2 linked regions of the Macaca mulatta genome follow. The protein of the gene in region 1 binds, or shares a complex with, the protein of each later gene. Links are inferred from orthologs where the notes say so. Each region holds a gene or a part of one and is shown on either strand. Other genes may lie near its edges. The genes, in order: PEAK3 and YWHAB.

The links.
Region 2: the proteins of PEAK3 (region 1) and YWHAB are in contact, whole or in part, in a cryo-EM structure (PDB 8DP5), measured with the Homo sapiens proteins. The link is inferred for Macaca mulatta from reciprocal best matches to the Homo sapiens genes PEAK3 and YWHAB. Residues at the interface, in NP_940934.1 of Homo sapiens: Arg66, Thr67, Gln68, Ser69, Leu70, Pro71, Thr72, Arg73; in NP_003395.1 of Homo sapiens: Val48, Lys51, Asn52, Arg58, Lys122, Arg129, Tyr130, Gly171, Leu174, Asn175, Val178, Glu182, Ile219, Leu222, Asn226, Leu229, Trp230.

The regions. Positions count from the first base shown.
Region 1 is NC_133424.1:3,019,078-3,034,273, reverse strand, and holds PEAK3 (protein PEAK3), read left to right. Parts: upstream 1-5,350; 5' UTR 5,351-5,904; coding exon 5,905-6,148; exon of another isoform or gene 6,149-6,651; coding exon of another isoform or gene 6,652-6,768; exon of another isoform or gene 6,769-6,974; intron 6,975-8,868; exon of another isoform or gene 8,869-9,032; coding exon of another isoform or gene 9,033-9,057; coding exon 9,058-9,587; exon of another isoform or gene 9,588-9,999; intron 10,000-11,399; coding exon 11,400-12,209; 3' UTR 12,210-12,946; downstream 12,947-15,196.
Region 2 is NC_133415.1:97,730,482-97,745,726, reverse strand, and holds the start of YWHAB (14-3-3 protein beta/alpha), read right to left. Parts: upstream 7,670-15,245; 5' UTR 7,592-7,669; exon of another isoform or gene 7,153-7,591; intron 6,789-7,152; exon of another isoform or gene 6,716-6,788; coding exon of another isoform or gene 6,671-6,715; intron 5,822-6,670; exon of another isoform or gene 5,727-5,821; intron 1-5,726. UniProt on the Homo sapiens protein: Adapter protein implicated in the regulation of a large spectrum of both general and specialized signaling pathways. Binds to a large number of partners, usually by recognition of a phosphoserine or phosphothreonine motif.

The sequences.
Region 1 (15,196 bases):
CGAGCGAGGGGCAGAGAATGGAGGGAAGCCGCTCTGAGACCCCAGCTAGGGACAGGTGGGGGCTGAGAAGAGTGGGCAAAGCTGGGCCGTTGGGAAACTCCCTCCCCAGCCTCAGGCCAGGGAAGAAAGAAGACATGGGTCCCCGCGGTGCCTCCTGGAATTGGCCTGTCGGGGAGTCTGGGTGCTGCTGACAGGGTCCCACGTCTGCCCTGCCTGTCTCTGAGGGCTCCCAGAAAAACCAGGGAGTCTTGGCTTTGGAAGTGAGATTAATAAAGTGCTTTAGCCCGCGCCAGTCCTCACTGACAGATGGGGAGATCGAGGCACAGAGCAGCAACAGATGGGGAAGCCGAGGCACGGAGAGGCGACAGGTGGGGAAACTGAGGCACAGTGGGCGTGAAGGCTCAAACCCCACCCACCCAGGAAGGCACAGGGAGAAGCTCGTGTTTTTTCAGGAAGGAGGTGGACGGAACCAGAGTGCAGAAGTTCCAGCCAAGAGCAGCCTCCCACTCGCCACAGCCCAGTGTCGGTCTCCGGACCTCGGTTCCCCCGTTTGAACCTAGGACTAAGGTTCCTTTACTTCCCTGCCCTTCGGGGGCAGAACAGAGGCCCGTCAGGGACTGTGAGGCGTCCCTCTCTCCATGCCTGGTTTCAAGGCAGCTGGAGGGTGAGGGGGGCTCTAGGCTGTGGGACTCTCCGGTGGGGACTGATTTCCCGTTCTCTCCTGCAACAAAGGCAGGTGAAACTATTGTCCTGTGGGCCTCAGAGTCCCCATCCAGGAGAGCCGCCCGTTCCCCGTGCAACGCTCTGAGTGCCTGACATGAACCAGGTGCAACCTCCAAGCTTTCCATGAATCCTGTCTCCTTTATGGGGTGCCCTGCGGGGAGGGCAGGGGAGACCTCAGAAGAGGCCCTTCCTGCTCAGGCAGCCAAGACCCAACTAAAGTAACACCCATCTCCTTGGTGGCTGGAAACCCAAGACAGGATCCCTAAAACCAGGACGGGACCAAGCCATCCTCATGCCTCATGTCTGGGTGGCTTCTGACCAAGCCTGCCTTGACTTCCCCTCCCAGACAGAGCTAGGACCAGCCCCAGCCCACGCCTGCACCCTCGTGGGTCTCTCACCCCCATCTTCTGGACGTGGACGCGTGTTTGGGGTGTCTCTCTCTCTCCCACATCCCCCCAGCAAGCCGACATCTTTTCCAGGTGATTCCTTGAGCCCCGCATATTAACTTCCCTCCTGTTTTCCTCCGCAAGACAGAGACACGATTCCCACACGCAAGCTTTTGCTCGTGGGGCCAAGGGAAGCTGGAGCTCAGGTCTCTGGCTTCCATTGCTGCGTGGCCTGGGGCAAGTCACTGCCCCTCTCTGTGCCTCGGTTTGTTTGTCTGTAATTTGGAAGATAATAATCCTGCAATAGGCTGGGCATGGTGGCTCACATCTGTAATCCCAGCACTTTGGGAGGCTGAGGCGAGTGGGTCACCTGTGGTCAGGAGTTCGAGACCAGCCTAGCCAACATTGTGAAACCCCATCTTAACAAAAAATACAAAAATTTGCCGGGTGTGGTGGCAGCCGCCTGTAATCCCAGCTACTCAGGAGGCTGAGGCAGGAGAACCACCTGAATCCAGGAGGCGGAGATTGCAGTGAGGCAAGATCGTGCCACTGTGCTCCAGCCTAAGCAACAAGAGGGAAACTACCTCAAATAATAATAATAATAATAATAATAATAATCCTGCAATAGTTCTGTGGTATGCAGGATAAAAACTGCATGAGTTTCCTACAACTGCAGTTACAAATGGCCACAAACCTAGTAGCTTAAAATAACTTAAAATTATGATCTGACAGATCTGGAGCCCCAAAGTCGAAAATCAGCAGGGCTGTTTCCTCCAGACGTCCCAGGGGAGAATCTACTTTCTGCCTTTTCTGGCTCCAGAGCCGCCTGCATCCGTGGGCTCGTGGCCACATCATTCTGACCTCTGTTTCGGTCATCACGTCTTCTTCTCTAACCCTGAGCCACCTGCCTTCCTCCTTACAAGGACCCCTATGTGGACACTGAGCCCCCCAAAAATGAAGATCTCCCTATCTGATGAAAGGTAGCAGAATTCCATCTGCAACCTTGATCCCCCTCACCAGACAGCTGCCTCGTCAGATTCCGGAGATGAGGACACAGGAGCTTTTTGGGGCTGTTATTCTGCTTACTAAAAAAAACCAAAAACAAACAAACAAAAAACGGGTCAGGCACAGTGGCTCCTGCCTGTAATCCCAGCACTTTGGGAGGCCGAGGCAGGGGGATCACTTAAGGTCAGGAGTTCAAGACCAGCCTGGCCAACATGGTGAAACCCCATCTGTACTAAAAATACAAAAATGACCCAGGTGTGGTGGACGTGCGCCTGTAATCCCAGCTACTCGGGAGGCTGAGGCAGGAGAATCGCTTGAACCAGGGAGGCGGAGGTTGCAGTGAGCCAAGATCGCACCACGGCACTCCAGCCTGGCGACAGAGTGAGACCCTGTCTCAAACCAAACAGGCATTTTTCTCCGAAAGGCCAAAGTCATGTGAAATCCATCAGCATGTGGCCCCCCTGCCCCGTGCTGGGCAATGCTGGAGACCCAGAGAGAATGTGGTCCCAGCTCCCGCAGCTCAATAAGGGCCTCTCAAATGAAGGGACAACTGTAGGATCTGGAGGGGCCTGATCCAGAGGCCACACCACACTATGAACTTTTTTCTTTTTTTTTTTGAGACAGAGTTTCACTCTTGTCACCTGGACTGGAGTGCATTGGCACAATCTTGGCTCACTGCAACCTCTGCCTCCTGGGTTCAAACGATTCTCCTGCCTCAGCCTCCTGAGTAGCTGGGATTACAGGCGCAGGCTACCACGTCTGCCTAATTTTGTATTTTTAGTAGAGACAGGGTTTCACCACGTTGGCCAGGATGGTCTCGATCTCCCGAGCTCAGGTGATGTGCCCGCCTCGGCCTCCCAAAGTGCTGAGATTACAGGCATGAGCCACCATGCCCAGGCTTTTTTTTTTTTTTTTTTTTAAATGGAGTCTTGCTGTGTTGCCCAGGCTGGAGTGCAGTGGTGGGATCTCAGCTCACTGCAACCTCTGCCTCCCAGGTTCAGGTGATTCTCCTGCCTCAGCCTCCAGAGTAGCTGGGATTATGGGTACCCACCTCCATGCCCGGCTAATTTTTTGTATAGGCATTTGACCAGCTTTTGCATCATTTTAAACTCTGTGCCCTGGCCAGGCGCAGTGGCTCACGCCTGTAACCCCAGCACTTTGGGAGGCCGAGGTGGGCAGGTCACCTGAGGTCAGGAGTTTGAGACCAGCCTGGCCAACATGGTGAAACCCTAACTCTACTAAAAATAATAATAATAATACAAAAATTAGCCAGGTATGGTAGCCGGTGGCTGTAGTACCTTGGGAGCCTGAGGCAGGAGAATTGCTTGAACCCGGGAGGCAGAGGTTGGAGTCAGCCAAGATTGCGCCACTGCACTCCAGCCTGGGCGACAGAGTGAGACTCCACCTGAAAAATAAATAAACAAGGCCGGGAGCGGTGGCTCAAGCCTGTAATCCCAGCACTTTGGGAGGCCGAGACGGGCGGATCACGAGCTCAGGAGATCGAGACCATCCTGGGTAACACAGTGAAACCCCGTCTCTACTAAAAATACAAAAACTTAGCCGGGCGAGGTGGCAGGCGCCTGTAGTCCCAGCTACTCGGGAGGCTGAGGCAGGAGAATGGCGTGAACCCGGGAGGCGGAGCTTGCAGTGAGCTGAGATCCGGCCACTGCACTCCAGCCTGGGTGACAGAGCGAGACTCCGTCTCAAAAAAAAAAAAAATTAAAAAATTAAAAAAATAAATAAATAAATAAATAAACAAAATAAAAACTAACCAGGCATGGTGGTGCACGCCAGTGGTCCCGGCTACTCAGGAGGCTGAGGTGGGAGGATCACTTGAGCCCAGGAAGCAGAGGCTGCCGCGAGCTATGATCACACCACTGCACTCCAGCCTGGGCGACACAGTGTAGGTGACGGAGCGAGACCCTGACTCAAAGAAAAAAAAGTATGGCATGGGACCCACTCGAAGGATGTTCATAAGGGAAAGGTAGTCTCCTTCCTCTCCTTCCCTTTCTCAGGGGATTGGGGGAGGCCAGGGAGACTCAGCAGTGGCTCTGTGGACCTCTGCTCCCAGCCTCGAGCTGCTGTGTGACCCTGGATGGAGCCCATATTGTCTCTGGGCCCATTTCCTTCAGGGAAATGGGATCGGGAACCCCTCATGAAACACACTCAATCTTTGCTGCAAGAACATCTTTGGGGCCGGGCAGGTTGGCTCACACCTGTGATCCTAGCACTTTGGGAGGCCGAGGCAGTGCAGCAGGACGAACCGCAGACAAAACTCCTTAGACACTGGATTAAAGAAGGAAGTGGATTATTCGGCCGGGAGCATCGGCAGACTTGTGTCTTAAGAGCCGAGCTCCCCAAAAAAAACATTCTTGGCCTTTTTAAAGACTCACAAGTTTAAAGGGTCCATGTGAAAGGGTCGTGATAAATCGAGCAAATGTGGGGAACGTGACTGGGGACTACAGGCATGAGCTAACAGACCAAAAAGTTTTACAATGCTTTTTCCATACAGTGTCTGGAATTTACAGACAACACAAGTAGTTTAGGTCAGGGGTCAATGTTATTATTATTACTTTTTTTTTTTCTTTTTTTTTTTTTGAGACGGAGTCTCGCTCTGTCGCCCAGGCTGGAGTGCAGTGGCGCGATCTCGGCTCACTGCAAGCTCTGCCTCCCGGGTTCACGCCATTCTCCTGCCTCAGCCTCCCGAGTAGCTGGGACTACAGGCGCCCGCCACCACGCCTGGCTGATTTTTTGTATTTTTAGTAGAGACGGGGTTTCACCGTGTTAGCCAGGATGGTCTCGATCTCCTGACCTCGTGATCCGCCCACCTCAGCCTCCCAAAGTGCTGGGATTATAGGCGTGAGCCACCGCGCCCCGCCTATTATTACTTTTTTTAACTCCTAGGGCCGGATGGTTTTGCCAAGGTTGTCTGGCTATTTATCTTACTTTTGTTTCTTTCTAACTGTTTGCTTTGTCTCTCTCCTCCTGTCTTGTGAACTAGGCAAGGTGAGGGGAGGAGGGCAGCAGGAGGAGTAGTGGGCTCCTTCCCTAGCCAGAGGATCGCCCCAGGAGTTCGTTGCAGGCTGCAGTGAGCTGCGATTGCCCCACTGCGCTCCAGCCCGGGCAACAGTGTGAGACCCTGTCTCCAAAAAAAAAAAAAGAAGACAGTTTTGACAGGCACACACTTCAGCTGGAATTTCACCCCGCGTCTGCTTTTCCTTGGGTTTTTTCCATTCTTGATTTTTCCATTTATGGTGATTTTATCTACAACGTCTTTTCTAAATAAATGCATCGAGGCAGTGAGGAAGGGGGAAGGGGGAAAGTGAGCCGATTCCGTTTTTTCAAAGAGAAATCCAGCAGGCGGGGCTGTTACCAGGCGGGATGCGGGAGACGCTTTTCTTTATTGGCCAGAGCACGGAGAGGGGCGGGGATTTGTCCACAGTCACACAGCCAGGCGCGGCAGAGCCCGGAGGGTCCTCGCCCACACTCCGCATTCGGGGGCCCTGGGATCGGGCAGGGGGCCGCTGGGGGCTCCTCAAGATGCTGCCACAGGAGGGGAGGCGGTTCCCGGGGAAGTGAAACCCACAGACCCCACTTTCACCTTCTCCAGGGACAGCCGTCACCACGTTCTGTGCCCTCCCTACGGTGGGCCAGCTCTGCCCCTCTGCCCATCTCACAGGGCTCCTCACTGCCCCTACCCCAGCCTGGCCTCTGAGGCTGTCAGCCCTGGTGCTATTGACTTTCAGATCCCACCTCCTGGTCTCCGTCCGGGCTGTTCCCTCCGCCCGGGATGCTGTTCCCGGCTACATCCTGTCCTCTGAGGGCGGGCAGGGGAGGGGGCGGCCGCAGTTGGTGGGGAAGTGTTGCCCAAATGCCCCCGCCCCACCCCGGGCTGCGGTCTGACAGTTGGCCGGACGTTTTCCTGTCAGCTGCCGGCGCTAGGTCAGACCCCTCCTGCGAGGCCAGGGGCTGTGGCCATTGGGAGTTCGTCCCCCAGGACCCCTCCTCCCCCAGAGGGCACGCCAGTCTTGAAGGTAGGGGGCTCCTGGAGCAGGGAGCTGGACAGAAGCGGTTACTTTTTCAGGTTGGGATCTGGGCGGGGGTGGGTTGGGGCCTGGTTGCCGACAGCAACCGCACAGCTGAGCCCTCAGGGAGGAGGCCTGAGTGTGGATCCCTGGGTCCCTGGACACTGTCTCCCCCACAACTGACCCCCAAAGACCTGTTCTCAGGCTGAACATTCTGTCCCCATCCCAAATGTGCAGTGGGGGTTCCTTCCCACTGCCTGGAAGATTGATGGATGACACACCTGCCTCATGATTGAGGAAGTAGGCCCAGAGAGGGCAGGAAACCCACTCGGGATCACACAGCAGGGTCAAAACTGGACAAGGGAGTGGAGTGTGGGTGCCCCTGTTCTCACCAAGGGCCCTGGAGCAGGGGGCCTCAACGGTCTCCCATGCTGTAGCACTCACGGACCCCTCCCATGTCGCCCTGTGCGTGTGCCACCCCACCACGCCCCGTCTGACCTTCCCCCAGCAACATGAGCAGCCCGGAGACTCCCACAGAGCCCCCCGAGCCCGACGACCCCACCTGGTCGACTCAGCCCACATATAGCAACCTCGGTGAGCAGCTCCCCGGGGAGCCCTGGGCCGGGGGCGTGCAGGGAGCGGCAGGGGGTGGAGGACACCGTGGCCTCTGGGAACAGCAGCAGTTGGTAAAATGAGTGACCTCAGGAAGGCCCGGAGTGGGCGAGGGCTGAAAAATAACCTGTGGGTTGGTGGGCGGGGTGTGTTGGCTCACGCCTGTAATCCCAGCACCTTGGGAGGCCGAGGCGGGTGGATCCCTTGAGTCCAGGAGACCAGCCTGGGCAACATAATGAGACCCCCCCAATCTCTACAAAAAAAAATAATAATAATAAGATGGACATGGTGTCAAGCGCCTGCAGTCCCAGCTACTGGGGAGGCTGAGGCAGGAGGATCCCTTGAGCCCAGGAGGTCAAGGCTGCAGTGAGCCATGAATTGGAAAAAAATATATACCATTAAAAAGAGAGAGGGAGGCCGGGCGCGGTGGCTCAAGCCTGTAATCCCAGCACTTTGGGAGGCCGAGACGGGTGGATCACGAGGTTAGAAGATCGAGACCATCCTGGCGAACACGGTGAAACCCCGTCTCTACTAAAAAAAAAAATACAAAAACTAGCCGGGCGAGATGGCGGGCGCCTGTAGTCCCAGTTACTTGGGAGGCTGAGGCAGGAGAATGGCGTAAACCCGGGAGGCGGAGCTTGCAGTGAGCTGAGATCCAGCCACTGCACTCCAGCCGGGGCGACAGAGTGAGACTCCGTCTCAAAAAAAAAAAAAAAAAAAAAAGAGAGAGGGGCTGGGCACGGTAACTCATGCCTGTAATCCCACCCTTTAATCCCAGCACTTTGGGAGATCAAGGAGGAGGATCACTTGAGGCCAGGAGTTCAAGACCAGTCTGGCCAACATGGCAAAACCAGTCTCTGCTAAAAATACAAAAATTAGTGGCCGGGCGCGGTGGCTCAAGCCTGTAATCCCAGCACTTTGGGAGGCCGAGAAGGGTGGATCACGAGGTCAGGAGATCGAGACCACCCTGGCTAACACGGTGAAACCCCGTCTCTACTAAAAAATACAAAAAAACTAGCCGGGCGAGGTGGCGGGCGTCTGTAGTCCCAGCTACTCGGGAGGCTGAGGCAGGAGAATGGTGTAAACCCGGGAGGCGGAGCTTGCAGTGAGCTGAGATCCAGCCACTGCACTCCAACCTGGGTGACAGAGCGAGACTCCGTCTCAAAAAAAAAAAAAAAAAAAAAAAAAAATTAGCCAGACATGGTAGTGGACGCCTGTAATTCCAGCTACTCGAGAGGCTGAGGCAGGAGACTTCCTTGAACCTGGGAGGCAGAGGTTTCAGGGAGCCAAGATTGAGCCACTGTACTCCAGCCTGGGCGACAGAGGGAGACTCTATCTCAAAAAAAAAAAAAAAAAAAAAAAAAAAAGGCCGGGTGCGATGATTCAAGCCTGTAATCCTAGCACTTTAGGAGGCTGAGTCAGGCAGATCGCCTGAGGTCAGGAGTTTGAAACCAGCCTGGCTAATATGGTGAAACCCCATCTCCACTACTAAAAATACAAAAATTAGCCGGGCATAGTGGCGGGTGCCTGTAATCCCAGCTACTCGGGAGGCTGAGGTGGGAGAATCGCTTGAACCCAGGAGACAGATGTTGCAGCGAGCCGAGATTGGGCCACTGCACTCCAGGCTGGGCGATAGAGCAAGACTTAAAAAAAAAAAAAAGCCAGAGAGACACCTGCCCAAAGTCACAGAGGTAAGAGTAGGAGTCGCTGAGTGCTGGGTGGCACCATTCTCTGAAACTGATCCATCCTCCTATGAGCTTCAGTTTCCTCTTCTGTAAGCTCTGTCCCCCAGACTGGAGTGCGGTGGCGCAATCTCGGCTCACTGCAAGCTCCGCCTCCCAGGTTCAAGCCATTATCCTGCTTCAGCCTCCCGAGTAGCTGGGACTACAGGCGCCCGCCACCACGCCTGGCTAATTTTTTGTATTTTTAGGAAAAGACGGGTTTTCACCGTGTTAACCAGGATGGTCTCGATCTCCTGACCTCGTGATCCTCCCGCCTTGGCCTCCCAAAGTGCTGGGATTACAGGCGTGAGCCACCGCGCCCGGCTGCGTCTGGCAAATTTGTTTAAATTTTTGCAGAGAGAGGGTCTCACTAGGTTGCCCAGGCTGGTCTCAGACCCTAAGTTCCAGTGATCCTCCTGCCTCGGCTTCCACCTTCCTAAGTGCTGGGATTACAAGCATGAGCCACCGGCGCCCAGCCTTATTACTTCCATGTTAGAGATGGGGAAACCGAGACTGAGAGGTGGAGTCACGTGTCCCGTTCCCATTCCGCCTGTCTTCAGCCCTCCCCACTGTCTCTCCCTGCAGGTGAGATCCGTGCCCACCTGCTGCCCTCCAAGGCCTGCCGCCCCCGGACCCCTGGGTCCTGCTCCACCGACCCACAGCCCCTGCCCCCACCCCTGCCCAAGAAAATCCTAACCCGGACCCAGTCACTGCCCAACCGCAGGACCTCCCATGCCAGTTCCATCCAAGTACAGCTGCCTCGGAGGCCCTTTCTGGGGTCCCACAGTGTGGACAAGAGCCAGGCTGAGGTGGGACCAGCTTGTCCCCCTGCAGAGCTGACCTTTGGCCTGACTGATGCCCCGCTGGGCCTCTCTCTCCGCAATCTGCACAGTCCAGAGGCTGTGCACGCTGCATTGGCTGCCCAGCAACTGCAGGGCCTCCATGCCATCTATGCCCGGCTCCGTGCCCGGTTCATGGGGGGCCACCCCGGGCCCTGCCGCCCTGGCCACGGCTTCCGCCTCCTGGACAGCTCGCCCTGCGCAGAGAGCGGGGATGCCCTGTACTACCGCGTGGTACGCGTGCATGACGACGCCTGGCACATCCTGGTCGCCAAGGTGAGACCCACGGCCCCACCTTCTCTAAGGTGTCCCCAGTGTCCCATCTTAGGCATAACTCAGGGCTTGTTTCGCTTGGCCTTTCTGTGAGTCAGTTCTCTCACTGCTGTAAAGAAATACTGGAGCCCAGCGCTCACACCTGTCATCCGAGCACTTTGGGAGGCCACAGCGGGCGGATCACGAGGTCAGGAGATCGAGACCATCCTGGCTAACACGGTGAAACCCCCGTCTCTACTAAAAATACAAAAAAATTAGCCAGGCGTGATGGCGGGCACCTGTAGTCCCAGCTACTTGGGAGGCTGAGGCAGGAGAATGGCATGAACCTGGGGGGCAGTGAGCCAAGAATGCGCCACTGCACTCCAGCCTGGGCAACAGAGCGACTCTGTCTCAAAAAAAAAAAAAAAAAAGAAAAGGCTGGGCAGCACAGTGGCTCACGCCTGTAATCTCAGCACTTTGGGAGGCCAAGGCGGGCAGATCATGAGGTCAGGAGTTCGAGACCAGCCTGGCCACATAATGAAACTCCGTCTCTACTAAAAATACAAAAATTAGCCAGGCGTGGTGGTGTGCGCCTGTAGTCCCAGCTACTTGGAGGCTGAGGCAGGAGAATCGCTTGAACCCGGAGGTGGGGGTTGCAGTGAGCTGAGATTGCACCACTGTATTCCAACCTGGGAGACAGAGTGAGACTCTGTCTCAAAAAAAAAAAAAAAGTAAAGTAAAGAAAAAAAGGAATACTGGAGACTGGGTCATTTATAGAGAAAAGAGCCTTAACTGGCTCATGGTTCTGGTGGCTTCTGCTTCTGGAGAGGCCTCAGGAAGCTTCCAATCATAGTGGAAGGCGAAGCGGGAGCAGCCATCTCATATGGTAGGAGCAGGAGGAAGGGAGGGAGGAGGTGCCACGCACCTTTACACAGCCGGATCTCACGAGAACTCACACGCTATCCCAACGACAGTGCCAAGGAGGATGGTGCTGAGCCATTCATGATAAACTACCCCCCAAGATCCAGCTACCTCCCACCAGATCCCACCTCCAACACTGGGGATTACAATTGGCCATGAGATTTGGTGAGGACACAGATCCAGACCGAATTAGACTTGTTTATTTTGCAACTAACACGTGAATCAACACAGTTAACCCAGGAAACCCTGTTTCTAAAGTGTGGGGCCATGGATATGGCCTTGGAGCCCTCGTCAAAGCCCCTCCCACACCTCTCTGGACGGGATCTGTTTTTTTGTTGTTGTTTTTGGGTTTTTTTTGTTTTTTGTTTTTTTTTTGAGACAGAGTCTCACTCTGTTGCCCAGGCTGGAGTGCAGTGGTGCGATCTCCGCTCACTGCAACCTCCGCCTTCCGGGTTCAAGCGATTCTCTCATCTCAGCCTCCGAAGTAGCTGGGATTACAGGCGCGCCACCACGCCAGCTAGTTTTGTATTTTTAGTAGAGACGAGCGTTCCCTGTGTTGACCAGGCTGGTCTCGAACTCCTGACCTCAGCGATCCCCCTGCCTCCCAAAGTGCTGGGATTACAGGCGTGAGCCACCGTGCCCAGCCCAGGAATCTGCTTTCGAACTCATTGCCCAGGGACACTGCCACCATCTTCTTCCCTGGCTTAATTTTCCTAAAAGCCCTTACTGGTGACTGACTACCCAATTAACATGGACCTCCTGCTGCTGGAGGGATGCGGGCAGTCTCCCACCCCCAGCCATAGTGGGGGCAGTTTGGGGGTGAGCGGGGGAGACTTCGTGGCAGGTCGCTCTGGGGCGGGCAGTGCTGGTGGGGGGCCCAGTGATTCAGGCCCCTTCACCCCCTCTGCCTTGCAGGTACCCAAGCCCGGGGCGGACGTGCCCCACCCGTGGGGCCTGGAGCTGCAGGCCTCCCTGTCTCCACACTTCAATCTGCAGGGGTTGTGTGGCGTGGTGCCTGAAGGCACACTGCCCGGGGCGCCCTGGAGAGGCGCGGTGGCGCTGGCAGCGGAGGTGCCGGAGCGCACGGTGGCGCAGTGGCTGGTGGAGGCCTGCACGCAGCCGCCGGAGGAGTTCGTGTGGGCCGTGGCCCTGGTGCTGCTGCAGCTGAGCGCGGCCCTGGAGTTCCTGGAGGCGTGGGGCGCGGCCCTGGTCGAGTTGCGGCCAGAGAACTTGTTGCTGGCGGCACCTCGGGGCTGTGCGGCGACTGGGCATGCGCGCCTACTCCTCGCTGACTTTGGCCGCGTCTGTCTGCAGCCCCCCGGACCCCCGGGCTCCCCGGGCCCCCACGCGCCGCAGCTGGGCAGCCTCCTCCGCGAGATGCTCGGCCTTGCTGCGCCCTCGACCACGCCTTTGACCGCGGGCCTGGAGCGCCTGGCAGCACAGTTGACCCGCTTGCAGCCCTCGGCGTCCCGGACGCGGGGCGCGCTGCAGGCGCTGCTCTGGGGGCCGGGGCCTGAGGTGCGCGGCCGCGGAGCGCCGGTCGGTCCCTGGCTCAGGGCGCTCGGGCCCTGGCTGCGGTTGCGCCGTGGGCTGCTGGTCCTGCGCCTGGCAGAGCGGGCCGCAGGTGGGGAAGCGCCCAGCCTCGAGGACTGGCTGTGTTGCGAATACCTGGCCGAGGCCACCGAGTCCTCTATGGGCCAGGCCCTGGCGCTGCTGTGGGACTGAACCCAACCCAGGGCGAACACACCTGGTCCAGGCCTGCCCAGGAGGCAGGGCTGGGGCTGAGGTCAGCGTCTCTATGATCGCCAAGACGACCTCCTCCTGCCGAGTCCAGGGACGCAGCAGAAAGAGCAGCGCCCCCCTCCAGAGTCTCCCCTCTCGTGCTGGCGATGTGGGTCAAGGGCTTCCCAGGAGTGCAGCTACCCCTGCAGGGCTGGGGGCTGGCCAGCGCCTCCTGTGTGGGCAGCAGCTGTCTGAAGCCAGCAGGCCACTTCCAGGTGTGGACACCCCCGCTGATCAGTGTCTCTCTGTATTCCACCTTCCCCGGCAGCCAGGGCGCTTTTCCGCGGTGGGTCCTGTCATTGTCTCCCTGAGAGGCCAATGCCGGGACCAGAGCATTCCTGGCCCTGGAGCACCCCCTTGTGCTGAAGACGGCCAGCGATTTTGGGCATGTCCCTAGTGGAGAATTGCTTGGTGGTGACACAGGAAGGGAAGGCTCCCTGGGACCCTAGACACCCAGCTCATCTCAGAGGCGTCTGGACTCACCATCCCTAAAACAGTCCCCGCAGTTCCCTGCCACCTCCCCACAATCCCTCTGCACCCACCCTGCCTCCCTTCCTGTTCCTCCATGACACACTAACTTGTTTCCCACCCCCAAGCATCTGTGCAGGCTGTTCCCTCTGCCATACTGTTCCAGTTCCACTTGATCTAAACAAATAAAGGTGCCCCCTCTGGGCCCTCGCTAGCTCCTTACCCTTCGTTCTCCGCCCACTCCCAGGAGCGTTTATTCCTCTGTTACTGTCCCCAAGGCTGTGAGTTCCCTGGGGGCAAAGGCCAGGCTTGGCACACGGTAGGGGCTCACTTAATACTGCAGGATGATGGAATAAACAGGCACAGAGGAGACTCACTGGAGGGGAGTGCAGTCTTTATGCCTCTGACACACCGCACTGCACTTGCCTGTGGCCTGCTTCCTGGAGACTCACAGTTGCCCTTCCATTCCATTCCCCATGGCAGTCCTGGGAGGATCCTTCCAACCCCAGATATGAGGTCCCTCTCCAGCTCAAACACCTCCCATGGCTCCCCAGTGCCTCAGAATACATACAGGTCTCTTCCAAAGTCTCCTCAGTCTCCAACCCCATGTCATTTATCCCTGGAGGTACTTTCCGGCCTCTACGCCTTTGCCCAAGTTGGTTTTTACGCCGGAAACAGCCCCCTCTACTCTGGTTCAGACTCCTATTCATCCTGTAACACCTCAGCTTTAACACCCCTTTTCTGCATTTGCACTGCCCAAATGAGCTGGGAGTGTCTGTGTTCACATCTATCCTCCCAGCCGACCCCACCATGTTCAAACGGCTGAATATCCCCCTGCCCCCGCTCGCCAAGGCTACAATCTCTTCGAGCGCCTTTCCTCCTCTTTCCAACCGGTTTCCCGGCCAGGCCTGGCCCTGACTTTCCGGGTGATGCTCCCGGATGCGGCCGGGAGGTGGCGCAGCGCCGCGCAAACGGCGGTGGTCGCAGACGCGGAAGCGCTCCAGGCCTTGACGCCGCCGGAAGTGCTCCTGCCCTGAACGGCGCTGCAGGTCCACGGGGGCGGCCAGTAACACGGTGACCCAAAGGAGTCAGGAACAGACATCCCCATGCGCAGGCCCAGGCTGGGGCGGAAGGGGACGCGATGCAGGAAGGGCCTCCCAGCGAACAGTAGCAAGGCTGACGCCAAGCTGAGGGCCCAGGCCTCCCAGCCGAGGGGGTCTCCTCCGTGGGAGGGGTCCTGCAGCTGCCCTGGTGACAAGTCCCCTGCGACCCCTCTACCCAGGGCCCTCTGTGGTCCCAGGCACTCCTCCCACCAGCCCCCGGCGTCACCACCACGGAGCCATGTGCATGGGGTGTAATCACTTTATTGGTTTTCGGAGAGCAATAGAGGGGATTAATACCTAATCTTTCCAAGTTAAAAGACTAAGACTGTTTCCAAAAGACTCCAAATAAGAAACTTCTCCTCAAAGTACAAGGATAATCTGAATCATCTTAAACCAGCAATAAAAAAGTAAAATATAAATTTTTATTTAGAATTAAAGCAAATACTTCAGTATCACAAACACAATATTAAACTTCAAGAAATATACGCTAATTTGGAGTGAGCATTTATTTGCACAATTACAACATGCGGACAAACCCAGGCGAGATGAGCGAGTCTACGGTTTCCACCCACCCGGCTGACAAGGGGTAGCCCCAGGGGCCGGATGCCCAGCCCCCAGGCGGCCCTACTCCTCCTCCTCTCCCGAAGACTCTCTCTCGAACGTGTAGGCCATGAAGCAAGCGTCGGGTCTCTTGGGGACAAGGGGATGCCCCGGTCTCACAATCTCAAAGCCCAAAAAGCTGAAGGTTCGGAGCAAGGCGGCTGTGGGGGAGAAGCCGTCAGAAACCCCACCGCCCAGGAGCCCCCACCCGCCCCCCGCACCCCCGCCGGGAGACCACGCCTGCGGGCTGAAAATGAAGGTGCATGGCAGGTGCCCCCACACACCCTGCTGCAGGCGATGCGAGTCACCTACCTCTGTCCTCGCGGTTCTTGTGGAAGCAAATGAAGACATGGTCGGCTCGCAGCTGCTCCTCAGCGAATTCCAGGAGAACTGCAAAGCTGCAGCGCGTGTCAGTGTCTTGGCTAGCCCGACCCGCCCACCTACCTCCTGGGCCTTAGCAGCTACCCTGAAGCCCGCTCTACTCCAGGGTCCCCCTGGGGCCCAGATCGTTCTCTGGGTGGGGCCGTCCTGACACCGCAGTGGTGAGCAGCACCGCTGCACCCACCCACGTGCATGCCCCGGGACAGAAAGGCTGTCAGACACTGCCCGGCATCCCCTGGAGGGTGGAATCCCAGGGTACAAACTTGGAACGCGCTTTTTAAAAAGAGACCCCAGAACGGGCGCGGTGGCTCACGCCTGTAATCCCAGCACTTCGGGAGGCCGAGGTGGGCGGATCAAGGGGTCAGGAGTTTTGAGACC
Region 2 (15,245 bases), on another chromosome or scaffold:
AGACTTATTTAAGAGCAATGGAGGCTGGGGGGAGGAAGTTGCACAATAATATTTTATTTCTGTAAAATATCCCCTCAACAGCAAACAAACCCAAAAAGAAAGGTTAACACCAAATGGTTAACACTGGCTGTCTCTCTGGGTAATAACATTATTATATCCTCATTTTCTTATCTTTCTGAATTTTCTTCAAGTATGTATTACTTTTTAAAAATTTTGGTACTATTTATTTTTTTAAGAAAAAAAGTGTTTTTCTGTTTAAAAAGAGAAATCAAGAGTGCAGATAAACAGCTATGAAACATAATTCTAAAGGCACTCTTTCTTTGAAGAAAATCCTAAATCAGATAATAAATGCTGAAAATAGAGGATCTAGGAAACAGCCTAGCCCCTCTATCTCAATTCCTTCCCCAAGTGATATCTTTCTAGTCAGGGTCAAAATACTGAGAAGTTATTTCCCAGTGGCTAGAGCAGATATCCTAGGATAAGAATCAAAAAAGAAAAGAAAAAGAAGATTACCTATTGCTAATCCATTTTTTTTAATAAAGGCACTGCAAAGATAGAGTTGAAAATGACAGCTGTAGCCTTTAAAAGTGAACATGCTCAATTCTAAAATAATAAGCTTTGAGTTTAATAATTTGCTGGAAATTTCAAATGAGGACTCCATTATTATATGCCAGGAATTACCCAAGCTCTATACATACAAAATATATGGTGGGGTCTGCTTCTAGCAAGCCTTACATACACATCTGAGCTTCTAAAGAGAAAGTAGGTGATTTTTCTACATTTCCACATTGTAACTTATCTGAATCTGTTTTCTCAGTGTTTAAAGGAGACATTAATAGCTATCAAATAAGATAATGAACATAAAATGCCCGTATAGTGTTGGTTAGAATAAAGGCTCATAGCCATTCTTATTCTTTCTTCTTAAGCTACCTCACAAAAATGTAACACATATAATCCAATGTGTGCTGAAATAACTACAAAATGAAAAACTACCAAATTTCTAAGAACTCTTTGGATTACTGAGAGGAATTTAAAAGAAAGCAGTGTAGTCCTCCCCTCAGCGAGCTTAAACTCTAGTGGTAGAAACACAAGAAAAGAGCACATGTATATCTATTATGCATCAATTAAAAAAAAAAAAACAGCACATGTTTAAGGGTTACAATGCCTCTCCTTAGAAAAGCAACCAGACAGAATTAGAGGAAAGAGGTTTAAAGGTAGCTAGGTCATGACTTAAAAAGAGATGTTATTAATAAAGTGCATGTATGTTTTTCTAGATGAAATAAAAATCAAAGGCCAAAGCAGATAAAGAAATGAGAACAAGGAAGAAAACTGACAGGAGAATCTGAAAAATCTAGGCTCAAATGTTTCAATGGGGTAAGGAACTGATCACATATTCTGAACAGCATTCACAGATGTACCATTCTAGATAGAGCATCCACAGCACTGTAAAGTAGAAGTTTTAGTTCTGGAGTCACTCTGCTGAAGAAAAATCAGATGCCAAGCTACTGCAGGAGGGACTGAGAAAGTCAGTGGGACCAGGTGGTTAGTGGGTGTTACCCAGAAAAAGTTAAGCACTCCTGGCTCTCAGAGAAAACTACTCACTAAAAAACACCCACTATAAAAATGTCTGTGTGCCATTCTACACATAAAATTTAGAGTCCTGTAATAAATTTAATTCCATTCAAACATTTGCAGGTTCTTTGTTAGGAAACAAAACACAGCATATCTGTAATACAAAGTCCTTAGCACTATGTCCAGTGAACACTGAATTTGGAGAGAAACTGCATTTCTATTATTTCAAAATCCCTTCCCCTCTTTCATATCAGTTGTTGAATTTCACTGCTAATTATGTCCAATTAGCCATGATTAAACTTACTGAGGGTGTTAAGTAACAGGCGCAAGGTTACACATGTGACTTAATGGTAGATATGACAATAAATTGACTTCTTGACTTTAAGTAATCAAACCAAAAGACACTATGTTAATTCTGATCCATAAAGACAGTCCAATTGGTTGACCTCATGAATAGATTTCTACAGTTTGGGGCCCACTGACATATCGAAGCCAATCAGTCTGAGTTACCAGTACCGCACACCAAGTCCATAGGCTATGTGACCTCTGTGAATCTGTTTTCTCATCCATAATACAGGCAAATCTCGGCTGGGCGTGGTGGCTCATGCCTGTAATCCTAGCACTTTAGGAGGCCGAGGAGGGCAATCACTTGAGGTCAGGAGTTCAAGATCAGCCTGGCCAACATGGTGAAACCCCGTCTCACTAAAAATATTAAAAAATTAGATGGGTATAGTGGTGGGCGCCTGTAATCCCAGCTACTTGGGAGACTGAGGCAGCCTGAAGACAGAGGCTGCAGTGAGCTGAGATCATGCCACTGCACTCCAGCCTGGGCAACAGAGCGAGACTCTGCAAAAAAAAAGATAGGCAAATCTTCTCACTAGGGTTCCTGTAAGGAGTAAACCTGTTTATGATGCTAAACATTAAGCACTCGAATAAATGGCAACCACAGTACATTCCACACAAAACTTAAAAACAAATGGTCAGCCAGTGAAGGGAAACTTACCATGTACCTCATTTATTTTACACGTACTCTGCTTCTGAAAGACTTTTAAAAGAAAGGCACACAACAATTTCCCTATGCCTATTTCTAAAATGGCCCTTATCACAGTTTACTGCAATGCAAGTGTCTCTGCTGGTTCCCACACTGGATTGTGAGCTTAAGGTAGGAATCCAGACTTGTATCTTTGGACCCCCAATGTGGAGCACAAGGCCTAGCACACTGAGTGACTACTTGATCACCTGATGCATTCTTAAAAAGTGAAAAAGCAATTATCTCCTATGTGGACAGAGGAAGGTAGTGCACATCTGACCTTTAAAATATAGACTGTTTTTATAGTCTTAGATTACTTTTTGAAAACAGCCAGCCAGCTCTAAATCAGGAGGCAACACTATACATTTTGACTAATACTTTTCAGCTACCAATCATTGTATTTATAGATTCACACTGACTTTTTTTTTTTTCCTGAGATGGAGTCTCGCTCTGTTGCCCAGGCTGGAGGGCAGTGGCGCGATCTCGGCTCACTGCAAGCTTCATCTCCCAGGTTCACACCATTCCCCTGCCTCAGCCTCCCAAGTAGCTGGGACTACAGGCGCCTGCCACCAGGCCCGGCTAATTTTTTGTTAGCCAGGATGGTCTTGATCTCCTGACCTCGTGATCCGCCTGCCTCGGCCTCCCAAAGTGCTGGGATTACAGGCATGAGCCACTGAGCCCAGCCAATTCAAACTGACTTTCAACAGGCCTTTGGATTACTTTCTGTTCATCTCCTCCATTCAGAAGTCCAATCAGTTCGCTATATAAAAAGTTCACTATACAAAAACCCAAACCAGCTAACTCGTTTAGTAAATAATAAAAATATCCATCCATCATTTATGGCCTGCAAAGCACTCAGGGATTCCTAGAAACGCATTTGATCCTAAGTATCCTATGAGGCAGGTGACATCGTCCCCTTTTATAGACGCAAAGAGTTAACTCATTCAGGGTCACACAGCTATATATGGCAGGTCTGGGATCTAAACCAACATTAATTTTAAAATTAATGTTCTTGCCTTTATGTAACCCTATATCCTAAAGATTAATTATGATCTCCAAAACTCATTTAAGGAAAAGGGAATTGCCAATTTTTAAAAGAACTATACAAAGTTGTTACAGTGAAATTTTAAAACTGGCCTATTAAGCTAACATATCTACCTTTAAAAACAAAAACAAAATCAAGGAGTTAAAAACAGCATAAAACACGCCAAAGACTCATCAAAATGTCAAATTTTAAAGGAAAGCTCTTAGCTGAGGGCAAATAATAATAATAGGACTCATATCTACTTTATTGTAGCCTTCAATCTTCTTGTCCTGATCAAGGCCATTTGGAAATAACTTCCTGTTGGTTCTCTTAGGGAAAACAATAAAATAACCAGTAAGGGAAAAACTTAGATAATAAAGAACTGGCCAGAATTAAAAAAAAAAAAAGAAGTCAACTAACCTACAATCTGCTAGGAATGACTTGAGGCCATTGATCATTTACATCTCATTATGAGTATTAGATACATATAACCATACCTCTATTAGAAAATCTTTTAGTAGAGAAAGCAGTAATATGATTGGCCTTCAGCACACTTATCATGACACAGAAAGCACTTTTAGTCTGTTTCCTCAAGTATTCCCCTCAGAAAAATTCCCTCAGAATCCAGCTCGTTAGTTTCTCCATCATGACATACAGATGACTGCTAAGATCATATTCACATAGAGATCAAAAGGATTCTAAAGCTTAAAGGTTGCTATTATATAACCATAATTTCTTGCCCCTTAAACTAGTGAATTGTCATCTTTCCCTAGAAAAATGTAGAAACAAGGAACTTAAAAGTACCTTTACAAGGAAATTTTAGTTCATTCTCTAAGGTACCAGCATTTAAAGGAAAACTCAGTTTGTTGGCACTGAAAGAGCAGGTAGCACAACAGGATGTTTTAATTTAGAAGTTTTTCTCTATTTACGTAGATATATTTCCTCATTTCCTCCTTGCCAACAAAAATAAGAAAAATCTGAACATCTACTGATAAAGTAGTATGATAAACAAAAATTAATGGTCATAATCAAATTCTCTTAGATGAAGAACCTAACATTCTATGCCAAAGTAACTGATGACTTTCTCCCTAGTATGAAGCAAGTACTAGAAAAACTGGATTGTTCACAAGCTTGCTTCCTGATGCATGCTAACAATATCATCCCTACAGGCCAGAATGGGTATATGCTCCACAATAAATCGTCCTGTATCTATCTTCAAAAATAGCTAGTATTCCCATTCAAACGTTTATTAGGATTGGTGTGAAGAAAAATTAAGGTCTAAATGGTGTTCACACAAAACATATACATGTGCTGTCTCTACCACACGTAGAAATCTATAATATCATTCCTTACAACCAGATCATCTAGTTTCATTCCTGGTTCTGGCACTTACCTTGTGCTGTGTGTGAGACCTCGGGAAAATTATTCTTCTCAGTGCCTTAGTTTCCTCATCTGTAAAATGGGGCTAATAGTCTTACCTTTCATTGGTTGTTATGAAGACTGAGCTAATATGCTTAAAGTGCTTAAAAGAAAGCTTAGCACACAGTAAGTACTGTAAGTGGTAATTATTATTATAGACTAATTGATACCACCTCATCAGATAAATCACAAATGGATGGATTCTATATAGATGTCCATGAATAGCACATACGCTATGTCTAATCTATACACGTGTATATTCATGCAGATGGTTAAACATCTATTGAACCCCAACTATATCCCAGATGCTTATTTTCATTGAGCTTGTCACAACAAAAATTATCCAAAGCTGCATTACCATTTGCGCTATATAGATGAGAAAATGATTCAGAAAGACTAGATTTGCCTACATGCAAAATAAAGTCCCATAATAATATACCATTTTTTGAAAGCAACTTGTGTACAAAGCAGGGTTTAGTGTCATCAGATGTTAACTGGAGAGAAAAAGCCATTAATAGTGAACTCTAATTAAAAAACCAAAAGCTTATATTTAACAATTTACAGTTTATAAAAAAGGCTTAATGATAACCCTGGAGATAAGAAAACTAAGAACCACAGACTAACATGCTGAAGATTCAGAAAGCTAGAAAATATTGCAGGCAAGATTTCAACCAAATTTACCTGACTCCAAGTCCAGTGCTCTTTCTGCTTCTCTATCCACAGCCAAATGGGCAAAATGCACTTTTTGTAGAGGCCCAAATCTCTGGAGACTCTGCCTAGAGAACCAGCATCGTGGGAATTTGCTCAGCCTGGTTTTATACAGGCTGCCTCCCTGATCTATAGTGCTCCAATTCTAAAATGGCTTCAATATAGCAAGCACTGCAAGACGGGAAATGTACAAAAGATTATAGGGTAGGAGTCATACTCCAGGGGCTGGCAATCCATATTTGCTACTGATGAATGAGGATATTCAATTTGAAAAAAACTAGGTGTAGAGTCTAGGCCAAATCACCTCATTTCTCATAAAGACTTCATCTGCAAGATAGGTGAATGGTTTCTTATCTCATTGGAGGGGCAGGCTAGGAAAATAATTCTGCAGTTGCTACAGGATTATTTGCCTTCCATTTTGAAAGCCACACTTAAATTTCTAACTTAGGTCCAATAAGATTGACAGGTTGTACACTCATACACTTCGTGTTGCCAAGGACAGGAATCCAAGAAAAATGAGGGCTCAAACAAATGAGATATCCCTAAGTAAGAAATAGGGTACCCTGGAAGCAGTCAAGAAGAAATTCACCAAGAACAAATACTTATATAAATTTCCAACATGAAAATGCAAAAGCTGCAGCGTCCAGCTCCATAAATTGCATCTGTGTCTGGCTTCATATGAACTGACAGAATGAGAAATGCAGACAATTTTCATATTCTTATAAGTGCTTCACCTTTCTGTTTTGGCTTCCGTGGCAGGCTGATTTTATGTTCATAGCATCATCTTGCCAAATTCCATCTCCCACACAGGGTAAGCAAAATCAGGACCTGATGCTATCTAGCCTTACCAAAGAGAAATGCAATGAAGGCAACGACAAGAGACATGCATTTCACAGAAAGGCTGGCAAATTGCTTACCAAGGCTGCCACCTCTGGAAACCTCATTATATGGGAGTTCTCCATTTGCGGCAAAGATGCACTCACCTTCCCACCTCTTCTTCCCTCCGCTCCCCACCCCCCGACCAGGAAGCCACCGGGCAAATTTCAGACCGAAAAACGTGCTAACACACAATAGGGGGAATTTGGGGTAAAGACACAAAAGAATTTGGCATTAAATGACGGTAAATACTGTGGGAAAATATTCCGATTCTCATCCCGATATTTTTTCCTGGGGATCCGGCCTGACTCAGTAACCGGCTCCAACAAACACATTTTCTTGATTCAAACCCAATTCCCTTCCTAGGGAATCTTGGGTCCTGCCAGGCTCCATAACCAGTTAAGGATGATGAAATGGTTTTACTGCAAAATGGGAGGGGGTTCCCCCACTGCTGTCTCCCAAGGTTAAACCCCTTACTCATCCAGGAGGAGTCAAACAGGGGGACTGGGGCTAGAAAACTCACCCGCGTTTGATTAAATTTTAATTTCTGGAAACCGGAAAGCACGGAGCAGAGGTGACTGGGCTGAAGAGGACGGTTCTTGCCGACCAAGACGCAGGGAGGGGTCGCGTGAGGGACCGAATCAGATAGTGAGGGAGAGTCCGGGACCCTCGGCTCCGCTGTCCCTCACGGTGCAGCACAGAGTTGCACCCCGCCCGGCCGGCAGGACCTTAGGCGGCGAGGGAGGCCCGGGCCTCTCCAAGAGGTACAGGGCCCGGCCCCGGAAACAGGGAGGGGCCGCTGCGAGGCCTGGCCTTGCCGCCGGCGGCCGCGCGAAGCGGAAGAGGCAGCGCACCGCTATCCCCCGGGGCCCACCCGCTGGGCCGCCGTCGTCGCAGCTGCCAAAGAGGGGCTTCGAATTTGGGCCCCCGGGGGCCCCGGTCGGACCCCGCGCCGCACTCACCGTGGGAGGGCTGCAGGGAACAAAGACCCTTCCGAGCAAAGCTCCAAGCGAGATGACCTCTTCCTTCCCAAGCCCACTCCTCAGGCAGCGGAAGCGGTGCCTGCAGTGGCTGCAGCAGCGGCGACTACCCCGGCTCCGGAATCGGCGGCGGCAGTGGCGGCAGCTCCACTTCCGCTCCGGTCGCCACTTCCGCTCCGGTCCTGGCCGCGCCCCGCCCCACGCCGTGTTCTCATTGGGCAAGCGAGGCACGGGGTTGCCGCGGCCCCACGGGAGGGGCGCTGACGGAAGGGAGGAGGAAGAAGAACGAAGGGCAGGGTTGCCGCGGCCGGGGCAGGGCGCATGGCCGGGGGAGGGACCCAGGAGGAGGTGGGCGGAGAAGAAGGAAATGGGGCGGGGGAGCGGGAAAAGGAGGTGGGAGGAGAGAGGGCGGAGCTGGGGGTGGTCAAGATACGGGCTGTAAAGGCACCCGGAGGACTAGGAGTGAGGTGTGGGTGGGGGTTTCCTTTTCTGCTCAGACTGGAAACGCGCCAGGGCCAGGTACGGAGACTCGAGGTTTAGCAGTCCCCCCTCCACCCAGAAAGTAATCCTCACGGTGTCGGAAGCCGATGTCAGTCCTCTTGCTGTGTGCTTTGGGAATAGTGGAGCTAGGGAAGAACAGAAATTGCTCATCCCTCAATGTTCCCTTAATCCTCCTTTCAATCCTTCGGAGTACTTACTTTTTCCTTCTTTGGTAGACTGAAGAGGCCACTTGAAGTGCCAGGAATCCAACGCACAAAGGTCTTTTTCAAAAACCTGTGTAGGGCCGAGCGCGGTGGCTCGCGCCTATAGTCTCAGCACTTTTGGAAGCTGAGGTGAGAGGATTGCTTGAGGCCAGGAGTTGTAGGCTGCAGTGAGCTATGGTCATGACACTGCACTCCAACCTGGGCGACAGAGTGAGACCCTGTCTCCAAAAAAACCCCACAAAAATCTGTGTACATGATTCCGTCTTTAAGATGCCCCCTCCTTGAGGAAGTTCAGGGAAGGAAACAGGCTTCCATGGCTCCCCTCCCCTCATGACTGCTCTCACAATTACCGACATTCTACTCCTCTCAAGGTAGTTGATTTTGTTTTGTTTTGTTTTCTGTTTTTGAGACAGAGTCTCTCTCTGTCGCCCAGGTAGTGTCACAGTCTTGGCTCACTGCAGTCTGTGCCTCCCAGGTTCAAGCAATTCTCCTGCCTCAGCCTCCTGAGTTGCTGGGATAACAGGGGCATGCCACCACTCCCGGTTCATTTTTGTATTTTTAGTAGACACGGGGCTTCGCCGTATTGGCAAGGCTGGTCTCAAACTCCTGACCTCAGGTGATCCACCCGCCTCAGCCTCTCGAAGTGCTGGGATTACAGTTACAGGCATGAGCCACCTTGCCCGGCTTCAAGGTAGTTGATTTTTAAACTCAGTCCTTCAAAATGCCTCTCGCCTTCCCTCTCTCCTGTTCATTTATTCTTTCAACAAATGTGGAACAGACTTTTTGCTTAGTGCTGGAGACACAGCAATGAACAAGGCAGATGGGGCCCTGCTGTCTTGGAGTTTGCAGTCGGGTAGGAGAAAGAACCAAGTAAATAGGCCTTTGCCGTCTTGCCTTTACCCTTACTTAGCTAAATGACAGACTTCTAATTCACTGTTTTACTCTCAGCCTCGCCCGTCAACTGCCAAGTGATCTTTTTAAAAATACCATTCTAATCGTGTCCTGTTCTTGCTTAAATTATTTAGTGTGCACTCAGACCTAGATGACAATATGTAAGTTCCTTGAGACAATCAGCGTTCTCCAAAAGCTGCCCTTATCCTTTAGCTGCTATTTCTCCCCCATCGTAAATACCACAATTCAATTGGATGATTCCTTACCTTCCCAATATGCCATCTCCAGTATTTCTAAGCAGTTTGACTTAGTTGCCAACACTTTTTTAAACTGAAAAGTTTCTGTGTGAACAGAAATCTGCCTCTACACCTTGTCTGGTAACACCGTGTCCACATTTCTGTGTGGCAACAATTGGCTGAAGCCAAGGAGTGGCTGCCTACTCTAGACTGGGTATGGACTTTCCCAAGTGTCAGGAACCCTTCTCGACCTGAGTCTGTTTTCGTCACTTATGTTATCTGTCATGTAGGCGTGTGTGCCAGTGACCCCTGTACTGTACCACCTTTTAAGTTGAACAAGATTGAGAATGTGTTGTGTGATGTTAACAGCATGATTTGAGTCAAAACCATTGGATTTGAATCCTGGAGAGGTTTCCTAGTGCAAAAACTTCCCCATGAGGATGGTCTTTGGCAGACCCAAGGCCAGTAATCTAAAGACTACTCAGGCTAAGTAACCTTTAATGTCACATAACTGTGCCTTATGCTATCATCCAGAAAATAGCCTAACAGACCAGAGGGCTAATAATGATTGTACCACAAATGACATCAACAGTGCATTGAGGGAACAGAAGTGCCCTTTGTCAGGCATTCCTAGGTGCCTGTTTAAGGGTTGCATGGATTAGATTATTTCACCATCTCTGCATTCTAGGCCAACGGTCAGCAAACCACAGCTGTGAATTGACAGCAATACAGAGAAATGTTAAAATACAATGTGGTAGGTGCAACCATAGAAATAAAAATATGTGCAGGGTATTATGGCAGCTTGGGAGAAGAGCACCGAACCCATCTTGGGACTATGGTGGGAGAGCGGGAAAGATTTCCTGAAAGAAATGATACTTGAGCCTTATATACTGAAATGAATCTTTTTTCAAATTATAGACTTAATTTTTAAAAATGTGTTTGTAGAGACGGGGTCTCATTTATGTTGCCCAGGCTGGGCTCAAACTCCTGGCCTCAAGTGATCCTCCTGCCATGGCCTCCCAAAGTGCTGGGATTACATGTGTGAGCCACTGTGCCTGGCCAATAGACTTAATTTTTTAGGACAGTTTTTGGTTTACAGAAAAATTGACCAGATATTAGAGTTCAAACATTCCCTCTCCCTCCTCCACACAATTTACCCTATTATTAACATTTTGTATTAGAGTGGTACATTTGTTGCAATTGATGAGCCAGTATTAATACATCATTATTAACTAAAGTCCATAGTTTACATTGGGGTTTATTCTTTATGTTGTACATAGTTCTGTAGGTTTCGACACATGCGTAATGTCATGTATATAAATAAAAGTTTTACTGTCCTAAAAATCTTTTCTTCAACTCTTCATCCCTCACTCCCTCCCCTCACCTCAACCTTTGGCAACCACAGACCTTTTACACTATAGTTTTACCTTTTCTAGAAAGTCATATAGTTGCATCATACAATACGTTTTCCTTCCTTCCTTCCTTCCTTCCTTCCTTCCTTCCTTCCTTCCTTCCTTCCTTCTTTCTTTTTTTTTTTTTTTTTTTGACAGAGTCTCACTCTGTCACCTAGGCTGGAGTGCAGTAGTGCAATCACGGCTCACTGCAGCCTCGACCTCCTGGGTTCAAGTGATTCTCCCACCTCAGCCTCCGTAGTAGCTGGGACTACAGGCATGTGCCACCATGCCCAGCTAATTTTTGTATTTTTTATAGAAATGGGGTTTTGCCATGTTACCCAGGCTGGTCTTGAACTCCCAGGCTCAAGCAATCCTCTTGCCCTGGCCTCCCAAAGTGCTGGGTAATAAAGTGTGAGCCACTGCACCCAGCCCATATGTAGCCTTTTCTGACTGGATTGTTTTATTGAGCAATGTGATTTAAGTTTCCTTCATGACTTTTTATGATTTGATAACTTATTTCTTTCGATTGCTTAAAAATATTCCCTTGTGGCCAGGCACGGTGGCTCACGCCTATAATCCTAGCACTTTGGGAGGCTGAGGCAGGTGGATCACGAGGTCAGGAGATCGAGACCATCCTGGCTAACACGGTGAAACCCCATCTCTACTAAAACTACAAAAAATTAGCCGGGCGTGGTGGCGGGTGCCTGTAGTCCCAACTACTCTGGAGGCTAAGGCAGGAGAATGGCGTGAACCTGGGAGGCGGAGCTTGCAGTGAGCCGAGATTGCGCCACTGCACTCCAGCCTGGGCAACAGAGTGAGACTCCATCTCAAAAACAAACAAAAAAACAAAACAAACAAACAAAAATATCCCCTGGTATGAATCTGCCACAGTATGTTTATCCATTAACCTATTCTTTTTTTTTCCAGACAGTCTCACTCTGTTGCTCAGGCTGGAGTGCAGTGGCATGATCTCAGCTCACTGCAACCTCCGTCTCCCAGGTTCAAACGAGTAGCTGGGATTATAGGTGCATGCCACCATGCCTGGCTAATTTTTGTATTTTTAGTAGAGATGAGGTTTTGCCATGTTGGCCAGGCTGGTCTTGAACTCCTTACCTCAGGTGATCCATCCATCTCAGCCTCCCAAAGTGCTGGGATTACAGGCGTGAGCCACCACGCCCGTCCCATTAGCCTATTCTTAAGGATTGACTTGTATCCTCCAGAAAGATATGTTGAAGCTTTCACCCTTGGTATCTGTGTATGTGACCTTATTTGGAAAAGGGCTTTTGCAGTATAATCAATTAAAATGAGGTCATTCAAGTGGGCTGTAATCCAATGTGGCTGGTGCCCTAAAGAAGGAGGAAAATGCCATCTGAAGACAGGACACACATGGGGAACAACACATGACAATGGAGGCGGAGACTGGAGTGATGAGCTACAAGCCAGGGAACACTAAGGATTGCTGGGCACCACAAGAAGCCAGGAAGAGGCATGAAAGGATTCTACTCAGAGTCTCAAAGGGAGCACGACTCTGCTGTCACACTGATTTTAGACTTCTAGCCTCCAGAACTGTGAGAGAAGACGTTTTTGTGGTTTGAAGCCACCCAGTTTGTGGCCCTTTGTTATGGCAGGCTTAGGGAACTGATAGACCTACTGAGAGATATCTGGATCCAGCTGTTGACAATTATGAAGAAAACCGCAGTAAACATCTGTGTGCAGGTTTTTGCGTGGGCATAAGTTTTCAACCTAGGAGTGTGACTCTTAGATTATATGTTAAGACGACGTTTAGCTTTGTTAGAAACTAGTAAACTGGCCGGGTGTGGTGGTGCATGCCTATAGTCCCAGCTACTTAGGAGGCTGAGGCAGAAGGATCACTTGAGGCCAGGAGTTCTGGGCTGCAGTGCACTATGTTGCCTGGGCATCTGCACTAAGTTCAGCATCGATATGATGACCTCCCGGGAGCAGGGGACTACCAGATTGCCTAAGAAGGGGTAAACTGGCCAAGGTTGGAAACGGAGCAGGTCAAAACTCCCGTGCTGATCAGTAGTGGGATCGTGCCTGTGAATAGCCACTGTACTCCAGCCTGGGCAACACAGCAAGACCCCATCTCTAAAAAAACAGTAAAAATAAAAATAGGCTGCTGGTCACGGTGGCTCACGCCTGTAATCCCAGCACTTTGAGAGGCCGAGGCAGGTGGATCACCAGGTCAAAAGATCGAGAACATTCTGGCCAACATGGTGAAACCCCATCTCTACTAAAAATACAAAAATCTGCTGGGCGTGGTGGCACATGCCTGTAGTCCCAGCTACTTGGGAGGCTGAGGCAAGAGAATCACTTGAACCCAGGAGGCAGAGATTGAAGTGAGCCGAGAATGCGCCACTAATCCCAGCACTTCGGGAGGCTGAGATCGGTGGATTACCTGAGGTTAGGAGTTCAAGACAAGCCTGGCCAACATGGTGAAACCCTGTCTCTACTAAAAAAAAAAAAAAAAAAAAAAAAAAAAAAAATTAGCCAGGCGTGGTGGCAGGTGCCTGTAATCCCAGCTATTTGGCAGTCTGAGGCGATCATGCCACTGCACTCCAGCCTGGGCGACAGAATGAGACTCTATCAAATAAATAAATAAATATATAAATAAATAAATGAAAAATAAAGAAACTACCAAACTGTTTTCCAAAGGGGCTGTACTATTTTGTATTTCCACCAACAATAACAGCTCCTGCTGCTCCATATTCATGCCAGCATCTGATATAGTGAGGGTTTTTTGTTGTTGTTTGTGTTTTTGTTTTTCTGAATTTAACCAGTTGAATAGGGGTGTAATGGTATCTCATTGTTCTAGTTTGCAATTCCCTCATGACATACAATGTTGAGTATCTTTTCATGTGCTTATTTACCACCTGTATATTTTCCTTGGTTAGGTGTATGTTCAGATTTTTTCACTTATTTAAATTGGATTGTTTGCTTTTTTATCATTGAATTTTAAGAATTCTTTGTATATTTTGCATACTAGTCCTTTATGTGATATGTGCTTTGCAAAGATTTTTTTTTCCTGTCTGTAGCTTGTCTTTTATCCTGTTAACAGTGACTTTGCACTAATTTTAATGAAGTCTAACTTACCAATTTGTCTTTCATGGATCATGTTTTTTATGTTACATCTGTTGAGCTAAAGAAAGAAACTCAGGCAAAATTAATATAGAGTTTATTTGGACCAAAGTTGAGGACTGCAGCCAGGGAAACACTAGGAAGTGCCCCAGAGAACAAAAGAGAGGCTCAAGTTTTTAAAGAAAAAAGAACAAATTAGGAGAGGGGGTGATGCGGCCAGGTGCAGTGGCTCACGCCCATAATCCCAGCACTTTGGGAGGCCGAGGAGGGCAGATCACCTAAGGTCAAGAGTTCGAGACCAGCCTGGCCAACATGGTGAAACCCCATCTGTACTAAAAATACAAAAATTAGCCATGTGTGGTGGTGTGCACCTGTAATCCCAGCTCCTTGAGAGGCTGAGGCAGGAGAATCACTTGAACCTGGGAGGTGGAGGTTGCAGTGAGCTGAGATCGTGCCCCTGTACTCCAGCCTGGGCGACAGAGTAAGAGTCCGTCTCCAAAAAAAACAAAAAACAAAAAACAAAAACAAAGGGAGAGGGGACGATTACAAAAGTTGTTTTTAAGGAATTGTCATTGGTTTACAGAGATAACATTGATTAGTGATTGGCTATATACATTCTTGAACTACAGAGTATACATTATGGTGTTCAGCATGGGGTGTTTTAGGTTAATTCCCAACTCTGGATGGCAATAGTCAGTTTATAATTCATTTAACAGGCATCTTTGAAATGATTACTTACCTCCAGCTGGGAGGAGACATGAGTGCTGTCACATTTCAATGCCTTTTTGGGCCTCATAAAGGGGCTCACATTCTTCAGATAAAAAGTGTCTTTTCTTTCTCATATCTAAAAACTCATGGCCAAACCCAAGGTCACCTAAATTTTCTTCTATGTTATCTTTTAGAAGTTTTGTAGTTTTGCTTTTTGAGTTAAATTTTGTGAAAGTTATAAGTATCTACATTCATTGTTGTGTGTGCAGACGTCCAGTTGTTCCAGCACCATTTGTTAAAAAGGCTATCCTTTCTCCATTGCATTGCTTTTGTTCCTTTTTAAAGATCAGTTCACTATTTGTGTGGGTCTATTTCTAAATTCTCTATTCTGTTCATTTGATTTATGTGTCTATTCTTTTGCCAAGACCACACTGACTTGATTACTATAGTTTTGTTGTAAGTCTTGAAGTGAGGTAGTGTTAGTCCTCCAACTTTGTTGTTCTTCATCTTTGTGTTGGTTGTTCTGGTTCTTTTGCATTTCCATATAAATTTTAGAATGAATGTGTCAACATCCACAAAATTACTCGTTGGGATTTTTTTTTTTTTT